5 linked regions of the Mus musculus genome follow. The protein of the gene in region 2 purifies or fractionates together with the protein of the main gene of each other region. This does not show direct contact. Links are inferred from orthologs where the notes say so. Each region holds a gene or a part of one and is shown on either strand. Other genes may lie near its edges. The genes, in order: Arfgef1, Mycbp, Otud4, Arfgef2 and Spag5.

Evidence for each region.
Region 1: the proteins of Mycbp (region 2) and Arfgef1 purify together in Homo sapiens (co-immunoprecipitation; 4 studies listed by BioGRID and IntAct, with this or other methods). This does not show direct contact. The link is inferred for Mus musculus from reciprocal best matches to the Homo sapiens genes MYCBP and ARFGEF1.
Region 3: the proteins of Mycbp (region 2) and Otud4 purify together in Homo sapiens (co-immunoprecipitation; 3 studies listed by BioGRID and IntAct, with this or other methods). This does not show direct contact. The link is inferred for Mus musculus from reciprocal best matches to the Homo sapiens genes MYCBP and OTUD4.
Region 4: the proteins of Mycbp (region 2) and Arfgef2 purify together in Homo sapiens (co-immunoprecipitation; 4 studies listed by BioGRID and IntAct, with this or other methods). This does not show direct contact. The link is inferred for Mus musculus from reciprocal best matches to the Homo sapiens genes MYCBP and ARFGEF2.
Region 5: the proteins of Mycbp (region 2) and Spag5 purify together in Homo sapiens (co-immunoprecipitation; 3 studies listed by BioGRID and IntAct, with this or other methods). This does not show direct contact. The link is inferred for Mus musculus from reciprocal best matches to the Homo sapiens genes MYCBP and SPAG5.

What each region holds. Positions count from the first base shown.
Region 1 is NC_000067.6:10,229,867-10,233,810, reverse strand, and holds the start of Arfgef1 (brefeldin A-inhibited guanine nucleotide-exchange protein 1), read left to right. Parts: upstream 1-1,140; 5' UTR 1,141-1,316; coding exon 1,317-1,440; intron 1,441-3,944. UniProt on the Homo sapiens protein: Promotes guanine-nucleotide exchange on ARF1 and ARF3. Promotes the activation of ARF1/ARF3 through replacement of GDP with GTP. Involved in vesicular trafficking.
Region 2 is NC_000070.6:123,903,500-123,907,812, reverse strand, and holds the start of Mycbp (C-Myc-binding protein), read right to left. Parts: upstream 2,801-4,313; 5' UTR 2,741-2,800; coding exon 2,726-2,740; exon of another isoform or gene 2,580-2,725; coding exon 2,507-2,579; exon of another isoform or gene 2,252-2,506; intron 1-2,251. UniProt on the Homo sapiens protein: May control the transcriptional activity of MYC. Stimulates the activation of E box-dependent transcription by MYC.
Region 3 is NC_000074.6:79,638,353-79,642,665, forward strand, and holds the start of Otud4 (OTU domain-containing protein 4), read left to right. Parts: upstream 1-1,510; 5' UTR 1,511-1,553; coding exon 1,554-1,712; intron 1,713-1,751; exon of another isoform or gene 1,752-2,161; intron 2,162-4,313. Other genes in the region: uncharacterized protein Gm51579, read right to left, coding at 1,001-1,510.
Region 4 is NC_000068.7:166,804,079-166,808,385, forward strand, and holds the start of Arfgef2 (brefeldin A-inhibited guanine nucleotide-exchange protein 2), read left to right. Parts: upstream 1-1,502; 5' UTR 1,503-1,636; coding exon 1,637-1,757; intron 1,758-4,307. UniProt on the Homo sapiens protein: Promotes guanine-nucleotide exchange on ARF1 and ARF3 and to a lower extent on ARF5 and ARF6. Promotes the activation of ARF1/ARF5/ARF6 through replacement of GDP with GTP. Involved in the regulation of Golgi vesicular transport.
Region 5 is NC_000077.6:78,320,773-78,322,969, reverse strand, and holds the end of Spag5 (sperm-associated antigen 5), read right to left. Parts: intron 1,928-2,197; coding exon 1,847-1,927; coding exon of another isoform or gene 1,832-1,846; exon of another isoform or gene 1,820-1,831; intron 1,709-1,819; coding exon 1,553-1,708; intron 1,473-1,552; coding exon 1,398-1,472; intron 1,312-1,397; exon of another isoform or gene 1,285-1,311; coding exon 1,204-1,284; intron 843-1,203; coding exon 771-842; 3' UTR 513-770; downstream 1-512. UniProt on the Homo sapiens protein: Essential component of the mitotic spindle required for normal chromosome segregation and progression into anaphase. Required for chromosome alignment, normal timing of sister chromatid segregation, and maintenance of spindle pole architecture.

The sequences.
Region 1 (3,944 bases), on a different chromosome or scaffold from region 2:
CATGGGATTCTTAACGTTTTCTCTCAGAAGCAATGCGGAAATTTGAGTTCTGTGGCATTAAAGCAGGCACAGTATGGTCAGGAGTATCTGTTCTTAAAGCTTTTCCATTCTGAAAACTCCGGATTAAAGGTAGAGAACGGGAGGGCTCTGTGCGGTACCTGAGTCAGAAGCACTCACCTTAACTTCAGTGTCAATCAGAAAAGGGCATGAAACCTAGGGTTTACTGATTTACCCTATTGAGAGATTTAAAAAGTGAAAATATTCCTGAATCTTCGCCCAGTGGTTTTTAGCTTACGTTTTGCAAAAGAGATCCATCTTGAAGTAATTGAAAGTATCGGTCAAGGATAGCAATTTCCTACACCTGAGAAGGAAATTTAGACCCCGTGTGGCAGGCGGAAACCAGGTGCGCCTGAGGGAGCGACGCGGGTGTTCCTGTGGCCCTAGGACCGCGAGGAACTTTGCTCCCCGGCGACCGGCTGTCCAGAAAGTTGGGGAAGCCCGTGCACGGTAGGCAGGGGTCCTGTCGTCCCGGCCTTGGGAGCGCCCCTGTGCTCCGATCACGCATCCCAGTAGCCCGCAAGAGCAGAAGCCCCGCGCCACGCCGTGCCGCGCAGCAGGACGCCCGCCACGCCCCACGCTGCCCTGCAGGCGAACGCGGGAGGCGGCGAGTCCCCGCCGGGCCGCCGTAGAGTTGCAGCTCCGGCCGCTCCTCCCGCGCCGCCCTCCGCCCCTTGCCTCTCGGCGCCGCGGCAGCTCTGGGCTGGCGCTGGCACCGCCGCCGCCGCCGCTTCCTCTCCGCAGCCGTTCGGCCGCTGCGTGACGCGTCGTTTCCTCTCAACATGGCGTCCGGGGCAGGTCGGCGGTGATGGAGGCCAGTCGGCGGCTGCGGCGGATGCTGGTCCCCACGGTAGCTAGGGCAGCCTCGCGCCTGCTGGCAGTGTGAGGCGCCGCCACCTAGGCCCTCGGCCCCGGGAAGACGGCCGCCCGGGCCGAGTGCCGCCGCCGCCGGGCCGTAGGGACGAGTGAGGCGGGCGGCCGGGAAGCGACCCCCGGGCCGACGGCGCCGAGGCCGGACGGGCGCGGCCCTCGAACGGCGGCCCCTCGAGCGTGGCGAGGCTTTCGACGCCCTTGGCGGCCCCGCGGCCGCTCCGCGTCGCCGGCCGCTTCCTGGTGCCGCCGCTGCCCTCCACGCCTCCTCGCCCCCACCGCCACCTCCTCGCCTTTCTCCCTCCCCGTCCTCATCCCGGTCCCCGTCCCCCTCCTCCGCCTTCCCTCCAGCCGCCGGGACCGCCGCCGCCGCCGCCTCCTCCGCGTCCATGTATGAGGGCAAGAAGACGAAGAACATGTTCCTGACCCGGGCCCTGGAGAAGATTCTGGCCGACAAGGAAGTGAAGAAGGCGCATCACTCCCAGCTGCGCAAAGCGTGCGAGGTGGCCCTAGGTGAGCCCGGAGGAGGCCGCGGCGCGGGGTGCCGGCCGCGAGAGGTGGGCGGCGTGGCGGGCGGCTCGTCCGGGGAGCCCTGCTGGCCGCCCGACTGGAGTTGACAGCAACTCGGCTGGACGCGGGGCACCGGCTGAGTGGAGGAGGATAGGCGGCCAGCCGGGGCCCCTGGAACTCGAGATGGTTACGGATCGCGAGGCACCTGGCTTCGAGTGGTCCACAGGACGGGATGGGGGGAGGGTTGTTGGTGGCCCCTGCGGTGCGGACAGAATGTCATCCTTTGTGATGGAGCAGAAGATGAGCTGTTGTTTATTAGCTTAGAAATTGAGGTGGGGCCGATCTGACGAGACTGAGCGTGGGGGAGGGTTCCGTATTGCAATTACAATAACTTTATGATTTGGCGTGGTACTTTGGGAAGAAAGGTTGAAGTTGTTCCCTCGTTGACAGTCTCGAGAAAGGGGGTTGCAAAAGGTGCCTCGAGTTTGCCATCTCTCTGCCCCAGCTACAGGAAAAAAGAGTAGTAATGTAACCTACTGGGCTGACCTGGAAGAACAAGACTAGAGGTTAAGGGGGTGGCGGTGGCCGTGTCTGTGTGGAAATGTGGAAGGAAAGAACCTTTAGATAAATTGACTTTAGGTAACACAGAAAGGGGTGTGTGTGAAATGAGAGAAAAGAGAAAGACAATGACACCCACCAGCCACATGTCTGGACAGTGGCAGCTGTTCTCAAGCTTCAGTTGTGATTTATAGTTCAGACAGAAGAGGTCTAGTGTAATGAAGCCACAGCAGGGCAAATCCCAAACAATACCTATAAAACCATTGTAGGCAGATAACGATTTGTTTGCGGTAGGTTTGGTAGGTCTAGTGCATCCATCAATAAGAGAATTGTTAAGGGAGAAGCCAGAACATTTAACACAGATAAATTTGTGATGCTTACCCTTTTGTTTATAGCCCTGGACCAGAGCAGCTCAACTTTGCAAGAAATGAAAATGGTTAAAAGTGATTTTTGAAAAACATTTTTGAAAGGGGACAAACTAACTTTATGCTAAAGTAAGGGGTCCAGATAGGTTAGAGACAATTTTGCATTTAAGTTTTGACTTAAGACTACCATTTAACTTACTCCAAATGTTACAGCCGCCCTTCCTCCTTTTTTTCTCAATACTTAGTAATATGAAAAACATCAACTGGATTTGTTTAACATCCACCAAAAAATGGTCCTTTTTGTTGGTGGTGTTTTGTTGTTAATGTAGTAGTATAGTGGACTTAAATAGTTCCTTCCTTTGCCCTTCATTGGTCATAAGTTCCCATTTTGTTATTGTAACTAACAACACGTTTCCAGGTGAATGAGAAGACTATTGTACAGTTGCAAAAATTGAATTTATATTTGGGTCCTGAAAGAAGTCATTATTAATTGGAGTGATAGGAAGGGTTTTAAGAACTTTTAAAATTATTGTGTGCTGTAGGGTTTTCAGTAACCTGGCAGGGTAAAAAAACAAATGAAATTCAAATTAAAGCTTTAGTATTTAAGAACTAAGCTTTGCTGTGTTAGAGTATGTGTGTCCATTTTTTTTCCTTTTTTTTTTTTTTTTTTTTTTTTAAGCAAGGGGCATGGGGGCATGCAGACAGGTTCCAAGTAGCCCAGGCTGGCCTAATATTTCTTTGTAGCTGAGGACAACTTGAACTTTCCTAAACCACTGTCTCTGATTTTGAATTCTGGGATTATAGACAAATGACGGCTTGTTTTAGAGGTGCAATGCAGAGGATGGAACCCAGGGATTCATTTGTAGTGGCAAGCATTCTATCAACTGAAAAATATCCAAACCCAGAAAGTATTTCCAGTATGCTAAAGCATACACATTTACAGGTTTTAAGTAAACTGGTTTTTATGTACTTTTTTTCTCTTTCCAAATACTAAAATGAGTATGTTGGCAGCTCATCGAAATGAGAGTCTGGGGTTTAAGTCCATCTTTTGTTACAGTTCAGTATTACTGTGCTTGGACTTTCTCAGTCCAGTTAAGGGTAGTGGACTCAGTGAATGTGAGTGCGTTCTTCTGCTAGATACATCTGGTATTCTTGCCGCTCTACATTTCTTCAGAAAGTCTGTAGCTCCCTTAACTGCAGCCCTGACATTTTTAGGCATAGGAATTCTTGATGGTGTGCTCTTTAAATCTTTTGCCATTTAACGAGTACCAGAGTACTTTGTTTACAGGAAGTTTTTTGGGTGTTTTTGTTTTTAACAAGAGGCATTTTCCATATTTCATAAAAGTTACATTTAGCTCTCTATAAAGTAAATTTTCAGTATGCAGTCTCATGGTAAATAACCCCTGATTTTTTTTTCTTCCAGTCATCTGTCAGTATTAAGTTTGGGATAGCTGCTATCTATCACTGGCTGACTTGGAACTCATTATGTAGACCAGGCTACCCTTGAACTATAGAACTTATGGCAGTCCTCCTGCCTCTGCCTCCAAGGTACTGAGATTACTGGTGCCTACTGGTGTGTGTGGC
Region 2 (4,313 bases):
AGGCGTGGAGGCAGAGGCAGGCGGATTTCTGAGTTCGAGGCCAGCCTGGTCTACAAAGTGAGTTCCAGGACAGCCAGGGCTATCCAGAGAAACCCTGTCTCAAAAAACAAAAAAACAAAAAACAAACAAACTCAGGTCCATTTGGCTTGGCAGCAAGCACCTTCACCTGCTGAGCCTTCTTGCTGGCTCTTAGCAACTAGGTATTTAAAGCCAGGTATTTTAAAGTTTGCTACCCTGCTCAAAATAACTAAAATGCTATTTTATGCATTCACCTTCTTCATGGATGTTTTTGTCTTGAAGGTTGTTATTGTTCTGTTGTTGATGATTGGTTGGTTAAGTTTGGTTTGGTTTTTTTTTTTTTTTTTTTTTAAAGATGTAGTTTTACTCTTTAGCCAAGGCTGGTCTCAGATTCAATCAGTCCTCCTACTTCAGCTTGTCAAGTGCAATTAGAAATGAAACAAGATGTCTAGGTCTTCTGCATATGCCTCAAACCTTTGAGGCAAGGTCTCCCTCAGCCTCCAGCTTCCATCCTTTTACCTAGGCTAGCAGAATTATACACACCAAGACCCTGTCTGGCTTATTATGAGTGCTGGTACCTGAACTCTAGCCCTATAGTTGTGTATCAAGTAATCTTACCTCTAAGCCATCTCTCTAGCCTAGCTATAGTTTACTTTTTTTGGAACAGATCTTGATACATGCTCCAGGCAAGCAGTGAATGCAGATCTGTTTTCCCTCACCAGAGCACTAAAAACATGTCACCATGCCTGGCTTCTTACAATGTTTTCATGTTAGAAACAACTTTAAATCCTCTCTGAAATGTTGCTGAAAGAAAAATGTAAACTTGTATGAAACATCTCTGTTTGATCCTGTAAAATTTGGTTCCCATTCTCTTACACAGCCTGAAGGCTGCACATTGGCTCTGCATTCAGTTATCTACAATTGTACTCCATCTGCCTTTCAGTGTTCTTGCCTGTCAACCTCCTGCATCCATTTCATTCCACGACCCTACCACACAGATTATTTGGGACCAAAAGTGTATCAGTGTTTATCTCCAGAGGTTGAACTATCTACTCATACATAATGAGTGTTTTGGAGATGAGATCCAAGCCTAAACATGAAATTAATTTACATTCCATATAGACCTTATTCACATAATATAAACATGATCTTGAACAAGTACATATTCCTAGGCTCCTGAATTTTGACTGACATAATTTATGCAGTCAAGTATGGAACTTTCCACATCAATACTCAGTAAGTTACAAATCTGAGAGCAATTTAGATTTCAAAATTTCAGATTAAGGATACTTATCCGTACTGTTCAAGGTCTTCCCTCTGCCACTCCATGTAAAATGTCCCATCTTTATCCTTGCTATGGTTTAAGTTAGACATTTACCACTAGCTGGCACTAGTTTTAGTGTGTGTGTGTCCCTATCTAAGCTACAAGCTCCCAAAAGCAAGAACATTTCCATGGCTGTATCCCCTTGGTGCCCAGAACACACGGCTGGAGTAAAATCATTACATGAAAGAAACATGAGGGGTTTTTTTTAACAGAATTCCAAGCCATCTGTGACACTTCTGATGCCACAAACTACAGTGGTCTCACAGAGTAGTTCCTTATACTTTTGCTCACATTGACTTCCGATGACATAAGGAAATGAGTAGTAATTCTAACTTGTCAGTTCATCCATGTAAGAGAATTAAAAGCCCTGCTTTCTTCTAAGTTCTCCCAAATTTTCCCCTAGCTTTTGTTCCCTAAAAAGCAGATACAAATTATTTCCCAGACACTTCCTATTCTCAAAAGGACCAAGTTTTCAATCCCTGCCAGCCATTCCATTCTATTCCCTTGAAAACACCAAGCAATGTTGAGTTCTTACCATGTAGAAGGCATTCAATATACTGTTAAGGCCAGTTAGCTTTATTCTATGATTCCAACCACCATACTCTCTAGCCTTACACCCAGAAAGGAAGGGATACACTTTACGCTTCCATTGTTTTAAAGTAAAGAATATAGCTGTTTTTATGTGCTCTGAAGCACTTTTCAAATTGTAATTCCACTTTAATTATGATATCTACACAAAGTAGGAATTACTATAGGCTAAAAGAGTTGAAAAGCCACAGCCCAAACTGTCTATGAATCTCCAGCTTCGGGGACTAGAGCCATTTAATAACCCACTTTCAAATCCAGTCATTTTCTTAGTTGCCTTTGTCCAAAAGAAAAATTTGTAAAATCCCGCACACTATACGGCAGGGAGCAACTGGGATCTCAAGGTCTTGCTAACGTGTCCACTGCGGCTGCTCGCGGGAAAGCAACGGAAGTTGGAGAGACTTTGCAACAGCTGCAAGAGTTTCAGTCCGGGGCAGAGAGCGACCACCGGGGCGAGGCGAAGTCCCGCGGCCGGCGTGCGCCCGACCCACGGGACCCCAAGGCCTCGCTGCTCCCGGGGCGGGCCCCACCTGGCCAAGAGCGCGCGGACGTGGGCTGCAGCCGCCCGCCTCGGCTCACCTTTCGTCAGCGTGTCCAGCACCCCCGACTTCTCCAAGTACCTCCGGAACTGCTCGCGCTTCGAGTCGGCGGCCTGAGGAGACACGGCGGGTCAGGGACCGGAGCCCGGGGCCGGAGCAGGAAGACGGCGCGCCCCGCCGCCGGCCCCAAGCCCTGCACACGCCCCAACTCCCACCCGGCGCCGCCCGCACGCCCCGAGCCACGCCGCGCCCCCCTCACTTTGTAATGGGCCATAGTGACAGCCACAGCGGCGTAGCTGGCGCCGGAGACACGGGCAGGCGGGCTCCAAGCCTCACTGCTCATGCGCGGAACGGCGCGCGCGTCTGCGCACTGGGCAGGCACGGGCCGGGGCCACCGGGGTGTGGCCTGTTTTCATGGCGACCGGGACGCTGTGTATCCCTGTCTCCTCGGAGCCTAGAGAGGCTGCGTGAGCCCGCCCTCCGCGGTTCCGGGCAGTCTCGCGTCTTCCTGTTCCGGTTGCCGCGGCGATTCGGTTGCCTAGCAAGAGGCGAGGTTTAGGTAAAGCCAGGCGAACGACCTGTGGGGCCCTGGATGGGTGTGGCCAGGAGTTAGAGGCTCCTGATGTAGTATCTCCCCACGTGTTAGTGGGCGCGCACTCCTTGTCATTTGGGTCTTTGGTGAGGAACAGACCAATGCCGTGTTTCTTGGCTCAGAAAAATACCCAGCACCAGGAAAAAGTTCAAGGTCACCCTCAGCTAAATAAAGAATCTCTTTTGGGCTTGTTCAGGGCTTGCTTGTAATCATTAAGCCCCGTGATATTTGCAGATAACTGCTGGCTGGTAGAAAACTTATCTCTACAGCAATGTTGGATTAGGGCAATGACCTCTGAAGTGGTTCTTTTCTCTGCCTTTGTCATTAGTTTCCTTTTTTTTTTTTTTATACCCCCTTAGTGGTTAACATTAAGTTCTTTTCCATATATATTATGCGTGTTTTTATGTTGAAAATAATTATAGGTAGTACTAAGTGTGTATGTCTCTCTAAGGAGATTTCTAAGTGCAGAAGAGGGCCCTTTAATGAATTTGTAGTTGTGCCTGCTACTTGGCTAGATTTTGTTTTGATCTCTCTATATAGAAGTCATTCTATTCACTAGGCGCTGGTGGCACACGAATTTAATCTCAGTGCAAGAAAAGTGGAGACCATCCTGAGTTCGAAGCCATTCTGGTCCAAGATGGTCAGGGCTACACAGAAACCCTGTCTCCAAAACAAAGAATTCATTGTAGTCTTGTTTTAATGTAAGGCCCTACCCCCACCTTATCTTTTTGAAATCCAGTGGATTTTTTTTTTTCCAGGAGTTGGGGAAGAGTATTCATGCCGTGGTGCAGTTGGAGATCGGAAGACTCATAGGACTTGCTCTCCTTCCACCGTTAGTCTCAGTAATTGCATTAAGGTTGTCAGGCTTGACAACGAGTGCCTTTACCACCAAGTCATCTTACTGCTCCCTAGCTGCAAAGTTTCTAGACTATCTAAGAAAAGCAAAACGATGGCTCTATGTTGCACAAATAATGAAAATACTGTCTTTTCTGTTGGTCTTGAGAAAAAAACATATTTGGTTATGAGAAGCCACAGAACTTAAACTCATGTTGAAAGAACTTATGAACCCAGCTTCAACCACAAACTGAATGAAAAAGTGCAAAGCAGAGTCCCCTGGTGGGTGGTGCTTGCCTTGCCTCCCTTTGTTCCTGTTGGCAATGCCCTTCCTCCCTCCCATCTCTGCTCTAAGGCATTCGAGACTCATCCAGTTTTTTTAGTTGAGCTTTTTGGGAATTTTACATGGAGTGGGGATGGG
Region 3 (4,313 bases), on a different chromosome or scaffold from region 2:
AATTTGGGTCAAGGATTTTTAAAAAAAAAATTATTTAGCTTGCGATATATTTTCTAAAAATAGCACATTTATAGGAATATTTAAATATTAATAGCTTACATTTTAAGTAACGTGTTGCAATCCTACCACCTGGCATGTCTTGGCACCATTCCCAAGAATGCCTACACCTTTAAACCTAAGGTAATTTACCACTTTTCTTTTTCCAACACAACGTCAAGACCGAAGTTCTAATAAATTTAAATGATACGAGATGCTATTGTATGCTAGTAAAATAAAATTCTGACGTCCCAAGAGGTTAAGTTCCGGATTCGCAAACCCAATTGGACTGCTCAGGTCGGATTCCCCGTAGCGTTATCACCGAATTAAAAAAAAAAAAAAAAAAAAAAAAAAGAAGTAATTTCTTCTAACAGGGACAGCTCTTTGTGTGGCAGAGCGCAGCTGCTGTGACAGAATGAGCAGGCATGCCCTTGGCAAAGCCAGATCTTGTCAGAGTGTGAGCTGTCCCAATTTCAATCAACTGTCAACGCTTCATTGAGGGTCAAAATGGCTTAGGCTGGCGGCTCCAAGGGCCTCGGGTGAGGTGCCCGGTTTTCTGCTCTAAGCGTTTAGCCACCCCTAAGAAAACGCTAGGAGGGGAGGCCCTGAGTGGGGTGCGGACAGGTGCGTCCTCTGGAACTACACAAAGGGCCGGCGGCACCGCCACTGAGCCCCTAGCAACTGCACGCAAGCTGCGCTCGCGCGCTTTCCGCCGCCCCACGGCGCTCAGGGCGGGAGGCTCGCCGGGAGGGCGGGGCAGCGCGCGCAGGTCAGCGGCGTAAGCGACAGACACCCTCGGGCCTGCTCGCGGACGCGGCCTGGGAAGCGCGAAGGCAGTTCTAGGTTCGGCACCGCTAGCATTGTAGGGATTTGTAGTCCGCGAGCCCGTGGGGCACCTCCCCTCCGGGTAGGCCGACCCAGGCGTCCCCGCCCTCTGCACGAGGACTTCCTGCCGCGGCTTAAACTACAACTCCCGTCGTCCGCTGCGCCGAGGGCTGAAAGCGAAAACAAATTCTAGGCTGCGAGGTTGCTGCCCTCCGCCCGGCGCCCCTTCCCGCTCCCCGCCCCTCAGGCGCCCTCCGGCGAGGTGGGGAGACGAGCGGCCGTGGCTTTCTCTCCGCGTTTCCTCGGTTCTCGGCGTGGGGTGCGTGCGGGAGACGCAGGCCTCGCTTAATCTCAGCCGGGCGCGCCGCCGGGGCTTTTCTCGCCTCACACCGGTCGAGACCCGGAAACTTGTGGGGGCGGCGACCCCCGGGCTGCCCGCGGGCGCGTGTCCCTCCGCGGAGGCGGCCGCGTGCGGATGGCCATGCACTAGGCTGGGCTCACCTATGCTCCGGGAGAGCGCCGGCCACCGCCTCGGGCCGCTGCCGCCACCGCCTCTTCCTGCCGCCGCTCGCCGTGTCCGCGTCGGAGCCGGAGCCCGAGCCGCAGCCTGCCCCAGGCCCGGGCGTCGAGCAGCCGGCGGCGCGGCCATGTGGGGCTAGTTCGCCCCGCGCACGCTGCAGCGGACCGGCAACATGGAGGCAGCCGTCGGCGCGCCCGACGGCGTGGACCAGGGCGGCGTGGGGCCGCTGGAGGATGAGACGCCCATGGACGCCTATCTGCGCAAACTGGGCTTGTATCGGAAATTGGTCGCCAAGGACGGGTCGTGCTTGTTCCGGGCTGTGGCCGAGCAGGTAAAGGACCCGGGCCGGAGCCGGGCGGGCGCGGGGCTGGGTGCGACATGCCGCCCGCAGCTGCCTGGCCGCCCACGGCGGGGCTGCGCGTGGCTCGCTGTCGTCACAGCGGCCCATTGTAACGCCGGCACGGGACCGAGTGAGGACATCTCGGGCGGCCTGCTCGCAGCCTGACCGCCAGGGACCCAGCGACATGCTGTTTTTGAGTTGTGTTCCGCGTTCACCTGCGCTCAGTTTTTAGCAGCCGAGTGTTCCCACTAGTTAACCTCATGTTTACTGGAGGAGGTGCGGCACTCAGTGTGACTGCTTCACATTTTTTTTTTCCTGTTGCTGGACTTTGGAATGCGGGGTAGTCGGTCTCACCGGTGTCACTCGAAACAGGCGGCCAACTTTGCTGTTTAAGGAAAGCAGTCTTCCTGTATAGGGTCTTCCCAGTGACTTAATCTTGAGTAGGTCCCATACTATACTATGTTGGAATCAGGCAAGAATTTACTCTTCTAAAGGCCTTTAAGTAATAGGATGGATTTTCAGTATAGGCACATGTCGGGTTTTTTTTTTTGTTTCCGTTTTTTGTTTTGTTTTCCTTATTGGTCAAAAATTATTCCCAGTACAGATCGAACATTTTACCAAAGAGAAGTGAGTTAGAACTCAGGAGTGGGACGAGTTCCAGGGAAGAATACTCAAGGCTTTTCTTTTTTGAGAGCGAGCCCTTTTCCCCATGTTATGTAATCAGATGTAGGTGTGGGGTCACCAAAACCCATCCTATATTTGAAGACTAGCTGCTAAAGTAGTTGGATTAAAAAAGTTTCACATTACTGCTCCAGTTTGTATTTCATACCATTTACAGTTTGCTTTCCTTTGGCTTAATCTGGAGTTTTTATGGTTTTGTCCCCTCCCGCCCGCCCCCTTTTGTGAGCTAACTAGCTTTTAAGATTTCTGTTTTAGAATCACCAGGCTATGTATTTTTCAGAGTATGTAAATATGGAACACTTTGCACTTATGACAGGTATGTCCATTGAAACATTCTTTGATGCTTCCCAAACCATCCTACCATTTGATATCTCTTATTTTCAGAAATGTAGGAAGCTCCAGTGTGGGTGCTGTTTCCAGCCCAGTCTTTACTGTTACATAGGTAAACAGTCTGCTCCATTTGTGAGTTTTCCAGATGAAGAAGATTGTCTCCTTGTCTCAGCCTTCTTGGCCTCTAGCACCTCTAGAAGCTGAAGAGGGGAAGTGAAGTCATCCCATGGTGTCGGTTTATATTATAGTGCATTAGCAAGTTTGTGGAGGATGGAGGTAGAGGTTAGTGTTTGGAGTTGAGTTATCCAGGCCTATTTAAAGTGAGACAGAAAGGTGTGTTTCTGCCCATGAGACATGCCACAGATCCTTGGGGATAGAAGAGCAGCTTGGGGGACTCAGTGTCTGCACAGTGGGCAAGAGCTAGTTGCACTAAACTCATTGATGGGGGTAAACTCCGTTTCAGCCTTGGGATCTGGGTTAGTCTTAAAGGACCTAACCTTTACAAATTTGGGGACGCTTTATTTTGAATATATTGAGCCTACATCTAGGGGAAGCAACATAAGTATTCCAGTAGATCCAGACTGAGTGAGGAAGTAATGGTGAGGAAGAATGTGTTAGCCTCCGCTGCCTTTAAAAGTCTGTAGGAAGGATTTGTTTTAGTGGAATTTCTTTTCTGGTAAATAGTTCAATAAATATTTTTAAGAGTCAGGAAGCTAAATAGTCCTAAGAGAAGAGGATTCGAGCGCGCTTGAGATTAGCCTTTTCCCCTTCAGATTACCTGATTTAGAGATGCTTTTTCCTTTTTTTTTTTCTTTTTTCTTTTCACTTGTGGATTTGGGCCTGCAGGAAGCCTGACCTGAATCAGCTCCTAGCCTTGTAGCTAAAAATAGGGCACTCTTAGAGGACTTGCTAAAACAGTGTCTCAGCCTTTCCCTGTGTTTATCACTACCTTGTTTTAAAGCTTCTACCTTTAGCCTATTTTCATGGAGCAACATAGCAGACCACTTGAATTTTGAGTGTCCAGGGATTGAGAAGTAATTTACTATTTGAAGAGTTGTCATTTCAGTCTTGCTTTTTTTGCATTGTTTGACTTACTAAATTATCAATATTCTACACTTCATGTACATTGATGAGAGTTTTGCATCTGGATTGCAGGTTCAGGTTGATGACATGTTCTAAAATCTTTGTTAAAAGGAGAAAAAACAGATACTTGTGATGTAGTTACTGATGAGAAGTGAGCTTTACTAATTTCTGCCTGCCACCTGTTGTTAGGTGAATGGCTTGAACACAAACCGGAGGCGCCTTGCTGACAGGCAAGCCCTATCAGGTGACACTGTGGCTCACTCAGATTAATAATGCTTGATCCATAACAGTGTCTAATGCAGCTACTGGGAAAGCTATATTGCCAAATGTAATTTGTTGAAATGGCAAACAGTTGGTGTTTTTGAAAATGCGTGGACGGTTCTTGTGATGCGGGAAGCTTAGACTGTGCAAGGCTACTTTCTAGTAATGTCCCAAAACAGTAAGAAAAGAGACTCCAGCTGCGTTTTACACCTCTCCTGGATAACAACCAAGAACTGG
Region 4 (4,307 bases), on a different chromosome or scaffold from region 2:
TTTCCCTGCCGGTGAATTGAGCCAATTCAAGAGAGGTAAGATTATATTAAATGTAGGTTTCCTGGGAAGCTGCGAAGCTGCTCTCAGTTGAGTTCACTGGTCCTGAGGAAGGAGGCAAGGCAAGTCGCCATGGGAAGAGAGGAAGAGTGCTTGCAGAGAGAGAGAGAAAGAGAGAGAGAGAGAGAGAGAGAGAGAGAGAGAGAAGCCAAAATGTCTGGAAGAGCCTCTGCCTCTGAGTGAAAAGGAAGGAGAAGGGCAGCCCAACCCTTGTGCTGGAAAGTTCAGGGTTGGGAGCAGGGGATGCCAGGTAGGGACTGAGGGATGCTGGGAGAACCTGGAGGCCAGGTCAGCTTTGGTATGTAAAATATGCAACTCAGTCCCTCATCCCAGAGAGGACATTGAGTTCAAGGTCAAGGACAGCCGGCGATACACATCAGGATTGTATCAAAACAACAACAACAAACAAAACAAACAAGTAAAACTCTAGCGACAGAAGGATTACTTCTTACAAACTGGCCCGCCAGGAGCTCTCTCTCCTGTGGCAGCAGGACTGTGTCCAGGGCTGGTGTGGTTTGCTGTCAGAGATACAAATCTGGAAGAGATAGACACCGTGAATATACCTTCCAGCCTACCCTTCTTTCCCCTCCCCTCCTCTCTCTTCTCTCTTCCCTTCTGGCTTCATCCTCAGTCCTGGTTCTTAACTTCCCTGAGCCTCCTTTCCATCCCTGATTTCTCTGCCCTTCCTGGATCCGGCATCTGACCTTCCCTACTCTCTGTCACCTCTCTCATTCCATTCACTTCCTTTTGCCCATCTCTCTTCTCTCGACTATTATTACTCTCACTAATTCTTTTTTTTAAAGATTTATTTATTTATTTATTTATTTATTTATTTATTATGTGTACACTGTAGCTGTCTTCAGACACTCCAGAAGAAGGCATCAGATTTCATTACGGGTGGTTGTGAGCCACCATGTGGTTGCTGGGATTTGAACTCAGGACCTTTGGAAGAGCAGTCGGTGCTCTTAAACACTGAGCTATCTCACCAGCCCTCACTAATTCTTTTTACGATTTTTTTCTTTCCCCTTTACTCCCTCTTTCGCTTTTCTCAGCATATCTAGCGCATGCTCTTAGTCTCTTCCTACCTCCGATCACTTGCATCTTTCCTTCAGGGCTGCCCATGTCTATAGGCTTTGACCTGCATTTTCTTCCCCTTCATAGTCATTGACCATCACTCCCCTACCTGGCCCGGTTATACTACTTAGACACGCCCGGACCAGCACCACTCGCGTAGGCCCCGCCCCAACCGAACAGACCACGCCCCACCACAGGTCTACTGCCCCGCCCACCCGCCCCACCCACAGAACTCCACCCCACTCTGGCTCCGCCTCCCGGCCGGCCCCCCACCCTTGGGGTCACAGGGTCGACCGACGCTCAGCAGACGCAGCGACACCGCCAGTCACGTGGTCACGTGACGCGCTGCAACTTGGCGGCGCCGTGGGGCCGGGGCGTCTCTTCCTGACAGGGCGGCGCGCACGGACGCGGCCGGTGCCGGCCGGGTCGCCGGGCCCTCAGCCTCGCTCTCCTGCTCGCTCGCACCGCCGGCTCGCGGGGTCGCCGGCCCCCGCAGGCCGGGGCCATGCAGGAAAGCCAGACCAAGAGCATGTTCGTGTCCCGGGCCCTGGAGAAGATCCTAGCTGACAAGGAGGTGAAGCGGCCCCAGCACTCCCAGCTGCGTAGGGCCTGCCAGGTGGCGCTCGGTGAGTGAGCCACCCCGGCCTGGCCCGCGCCGGCTTCCCCACGCCGGCCGTTACCCTCCGGGCCTGCTGCCCTCCACTCCTCCCAGCCCGAATCCCACCCTCCCGTCCTCTTCCGCTCGCTGTCCCCGTGGGAGCTGGTGTTGGGGCGGCCGAGACTGGCCCAAGGTCACCTAGCAAGTTGGTGACAGCCACGGCTGGTTTTCCAGCTTCCCTGCCTGGGGCCCTTGCCACGACTCCTTGTCCCGTTTCCTGGTTCCTCCCCTCACCATCTCCAAGTCCTCTGAAGCAGTAGCTCTCGATCTTAAGTTTTTCCTTCAGCGCCACTATGCTGGTTGGGGGCTCTCCCACGGGAGCGATCAGAGCAGGTCAGAGAGCTGCCCGGTTGGTGCCGAGGAACCCCGGAGGCTTGTTTGGGAAATGTCTCACTGGAGAACATTGGGGTTCCCAGGGCGCTTCGCCTGGAAGGGATGTAAGATGATCTATATTTCAGGCATTGGACAGCGTGTACGACTTCTACTCATTTTAGGGCGGGTCCCTAAAATAAAGGTTCTGTAGAGCAAAGATACTTGTCTGATTGCTTCAATGCGGTGTCCTGTGCATTTATGACAGTGCTTCGCACACAGTAGTTGCTCAGTAAATATTTGCTGGTTGAATGGATCCATGGATTGTGGAAAGACAGAAGTCTCTAGCTCCTAACTAGGTAAAAGCTCGGTAGTTGACACCAACATCAGTCTCCTATCTTTAGTTACTTCTCGAGAGCCTGTGTAGCAGGTACTGAGGAGATGTCTATGAAGGAGAAATGGAATCCTTTGTCCCTGTGGATCTTCTTAGGTTCTGATAGAGCAGACAAAACAGTACTAATAAGTACTGCTGTCAGAAAAAAGACTTAAGTGATACAGAGGACCTGAGGTCTGCTTTAGGTTGGATGGTCAGGAAAGTAGTCTTGTCTGAAAGTGTGACATTTGAGCCCAGGTCTGAAAGGTAAGAAATGTCGACTGTGTGGAGGTTCAAGAGGAAAAAAGTTGTGGACGGAGAGCGTCAGGACATTTGACCAGAGCTGTCTCCCTGTGAATTCATCGCCCTGTGCAATCCATGGGATTTGGTTAAAAGGCCTGTTGTCCTAAAAGGTTGAGTAAACAGAAGGGCTGAGTTTCTGTTAGTCACTCTTCTCCATGGGTGCAGGAGAACGTCCACTTGAGACCTTGGAATGGATTTGTGAGCTTTGCACTTCCCGGTGAATAAGATTCAGGCCTCAAATATGTGGGAAGCATTTGAGAGTCCCTAAGGGTCAGAAACTGTTGTTGATCTTGGGGGTTGCTTGAGGCCTGTGTAATCCTGAGCAGCTAATCTTGTGAAATTCAGGGTCTGTGGAAGGGATTTACTGAGACCTAAATGTTAAAGCTTTTCTGTTTTGAAAACCAGGGCCAAGAGTTGGGTTTTGTTCTATCAGGAATGTAGGGTAAGCATTGGAAAAGCAGCTGTGAGGGAGGCATGAGCCTCAGGCTGAACCCTCCTAGACTCCATTCTTGCCATAGGGCTTCACGTTTTAACTTCTTAATTTATTTTTATTTTATTTTATTTTTTGGTTTTTGTTTTTCGAAACAGGGTTTCTCTGTGTAATCCTGGCTGTCCTGGAACTCACTCTGTAGACCAGGCTGGCCTTGAACTCAGAAATCCACCTGCCTCTGCTTCCCAAGTGCTGGGATTAAAGCCATGTGCCACCACTGCCGGGCTGGCTGTCTTTGATTGCTCTCCACTTATGCAAGACAGTGTCTTTCCCTGAACTAAAGCTCACCAATTCTGCTAGCTAGCTAGCCAGCTTGCTCAAGAACCCCCTGTCTCAGCCTCCCAAGAACTTGCGCTATAGGGAGCCACCACACACGAGTGGCTTATTTGTATTTAAAAATGGGTTCTGGGGAGCCGAACGCTGGTCCTCACACTTCCACTGTGAGCACTTTACCCACTGAGCTACCCTTCCAGCCCCATACATTCCTCTTCTTAAATGAGGTTACTGAGACCCAAGAAAAGGCCTTGAGATACAGGATAAGGGGGGCACAGGTACTCTGCAGTATTTTAACTGTTCAGAAATAAAGTCTTTTCACCTAACTAAGCACATAGCTCCTATCTTAAATGATAGCTCCTTTAAGCCAGCCCTGGGTGTGAACTCCCTAACCACTGATAACAAGCCATCCCTCCAATTTCACATAACCTAGAGTGAAGTTACCTCCTGTCAGGGCCATTTCTTACACATGTGTGTATGCAGTAAGTATGCATGTTCACACATGAGAACACGTGTGTATAAATATATAATTCAAACGTGCATTTCTACAGCCTAAATTGGAAAAAATAAATCTGAACTTTTACACAAAAAATATAATCCGAGGGGAAAAAAAAAGAACCATCTAATAATGTCTCAGTGTTATGGCCCAGTATGGCTCGCAGGACAATTTAAGCAGACCCCAGCAATGTGATATTTGATGCTAAAATTTCTGAACAAGAAATTAAAACTTGGGCTGAGAGATGGCTCAGCGGTTAAGAGCACTGACTGCT
Region 5 (2,197 bases), on a different chromosome or scaffold from region 2:
TTGTTAGAGACGATGCCCTTCCCACATCATGGAACCCTGCCAACAGGGCCCTAGAGGGAAGAGATGGACTTGTGTTTGTCTCTACCACAATCAGTCCTTTGCTGTGTAAGGCATTATGTGGAATGTTGGGGATTAAGCCTGGTTTAGAGGAGAGATCTCTAAACATCAGCAGGTAGGGCAGAGGCCCACCTAACAGTGCCCCACTTCAAGACATGGAATAATGGAATTGAGTTTCTGTGCTCTGCCCCATATTTACCAGTGCCTACCCCCAAGGGGGATGGGGAAAGTAAGTGAATGGAGTCTTTTCTGTTCCCCCCAGGCAGTGGTCCAGGGAACAGGCAGTCCATTGCCCTCCCCCCCACCCCCTTTTTTTGTTGGTAGAAGAAGAGAATCAAGCAAAGAAAAGCAGTCAGCCTTGGCTTTAGCTGCAGCAGGAAGTGGTGAAGGGTGCCTAGGCTGAAGTGCTGATCTGCCCACTCCTACCCCCAAAATAAGATTCAGTGGACTGGAAGGACTACATTAAATACACTTTATTTAAATAACATAAAACATGGTCGGCTCTATGCCAATTGGTCTTATTATTGGGATAAGGGTTGGGATAAAGAGCCCTGAAGGAAACTGGAGTGGAGTGGAATTCATTTTTCAGGGTTTTTGCTGTGTTGTCTGTGTTAGGTTCCCAAATTCCTGGGATTTGGCAGCACTCCAACTTTGGCGTCTGGAGCAGCTGGAACTACAGGTGCACACCACTGCATTCCAATATTTTCAGTTTCTTAGCTCAGAAATTCTAGCAATCCTTGTAACTCCTTGCAACTCTTCATAGTCTCTGGGATAGACAACAGAGTCTGGGAAGAGACAGAAAACAGTTCTGAATCACAAGCCTGAAGCCAAAGCTCCTGGCCTGTGATGCTGGAAAAGTGAAAATGAAGCCACTGTAAGAAGTCAGGCTGAGGGCTGGAGAGATGGCTCAGCGGTTAGGAGCACTGCCTGTTCTTCCGAAGATCCTGAGTTCAAGTCCCAGCAGCCACATGGTGGCTCACAACCATCTGTAATGAGATCTGACTCCCTCAGAGGACAGCTACAGTGTACTTTCATATAATAAATAAATAAATCTTTAAAAAAAAAAAAAAGTAGTCAGGCTGAGAACCGGAGCCATGCTCCTCAGCCCCTCCGGCAGCCAGGTCCCACTACCTCCTTCACTTTTACCTCATAGACATGCTGAATTGTGTCATCGAGTTTCTTTAACTCTGTGTCAGAGCGCCGAAGATTCTCCTCCAGGATGTGCCTCTACAATGCAAACAGGCTTCATGAACCCTACACGTAAAGAACACAGCTAGAGAGAACAGAGGAAATATATATGGCAGGGTGCTTCTGTGGTGGAAGGAAACAGAACTGCTTACATGGCTCAGATACTTGTCCATCAGCTGTTCCTTCTCAGTTTTCATCTCCAGGAACATAACCCTCAGCTTGCTCACCTATAAATATGTCCACGTTAATAGGGGCATAGCGTGGGGTCCCCATTATTTGTACAGCTCCTTTGTTAACTCTGTGTTACCTCCTGTGAGAGAAACACTTTTTCCTGGATCCAGTTAGTAGCCATCAGCTGGCAGCTGGGATCTAGCTGGCCTTCCAGGGCTTCCTGGAGCACTTTAGTCTCTGTCTCTGCACGCCGAAGTGACTGTGTGAGCTGGGTCACCTCCTCTCTGAGGTTCTGGGAACAAGAGCAGAGGTAACCCAACAGCACTCAGGGGTAACGGAGATAACCCAACAGTACTCAGAGGTTCTTTCTCTCCTTCCTCCATCAGGTGGGAAAAGCAGAGACCTGGCCATAGCATCAGGAGAAACGTACTATGAGCTGGCCGCTCTTGTCTATTTGCCCCAGGATCTTCTCGTTCTGCTTCTGTATCACTTCCAGGAGCTCCTTCTCATTCTGTGAAGAAGGACAGAAGCACTGAGGAAAGGCTCACTTCTTTTCAGCCAGAAGACAGGACTGAATGCCCGAGCCATGCTCAGCCCCGGGGACTCGTTCATATCCGTCCACTTATTCAGGACCAAGTCAAGCATGGCACGTCTTGGTTTCAGAACTCTGCTTCAGTTCTGGGCTTTTCTCCTGGGTCTGCTTGGAGAAGACAGGTCAACCCAGTACTAGTTCTCAGATAGGAAGTGTCTGACCCCAAAAGGGCAAAACTAGAGCAGTAGT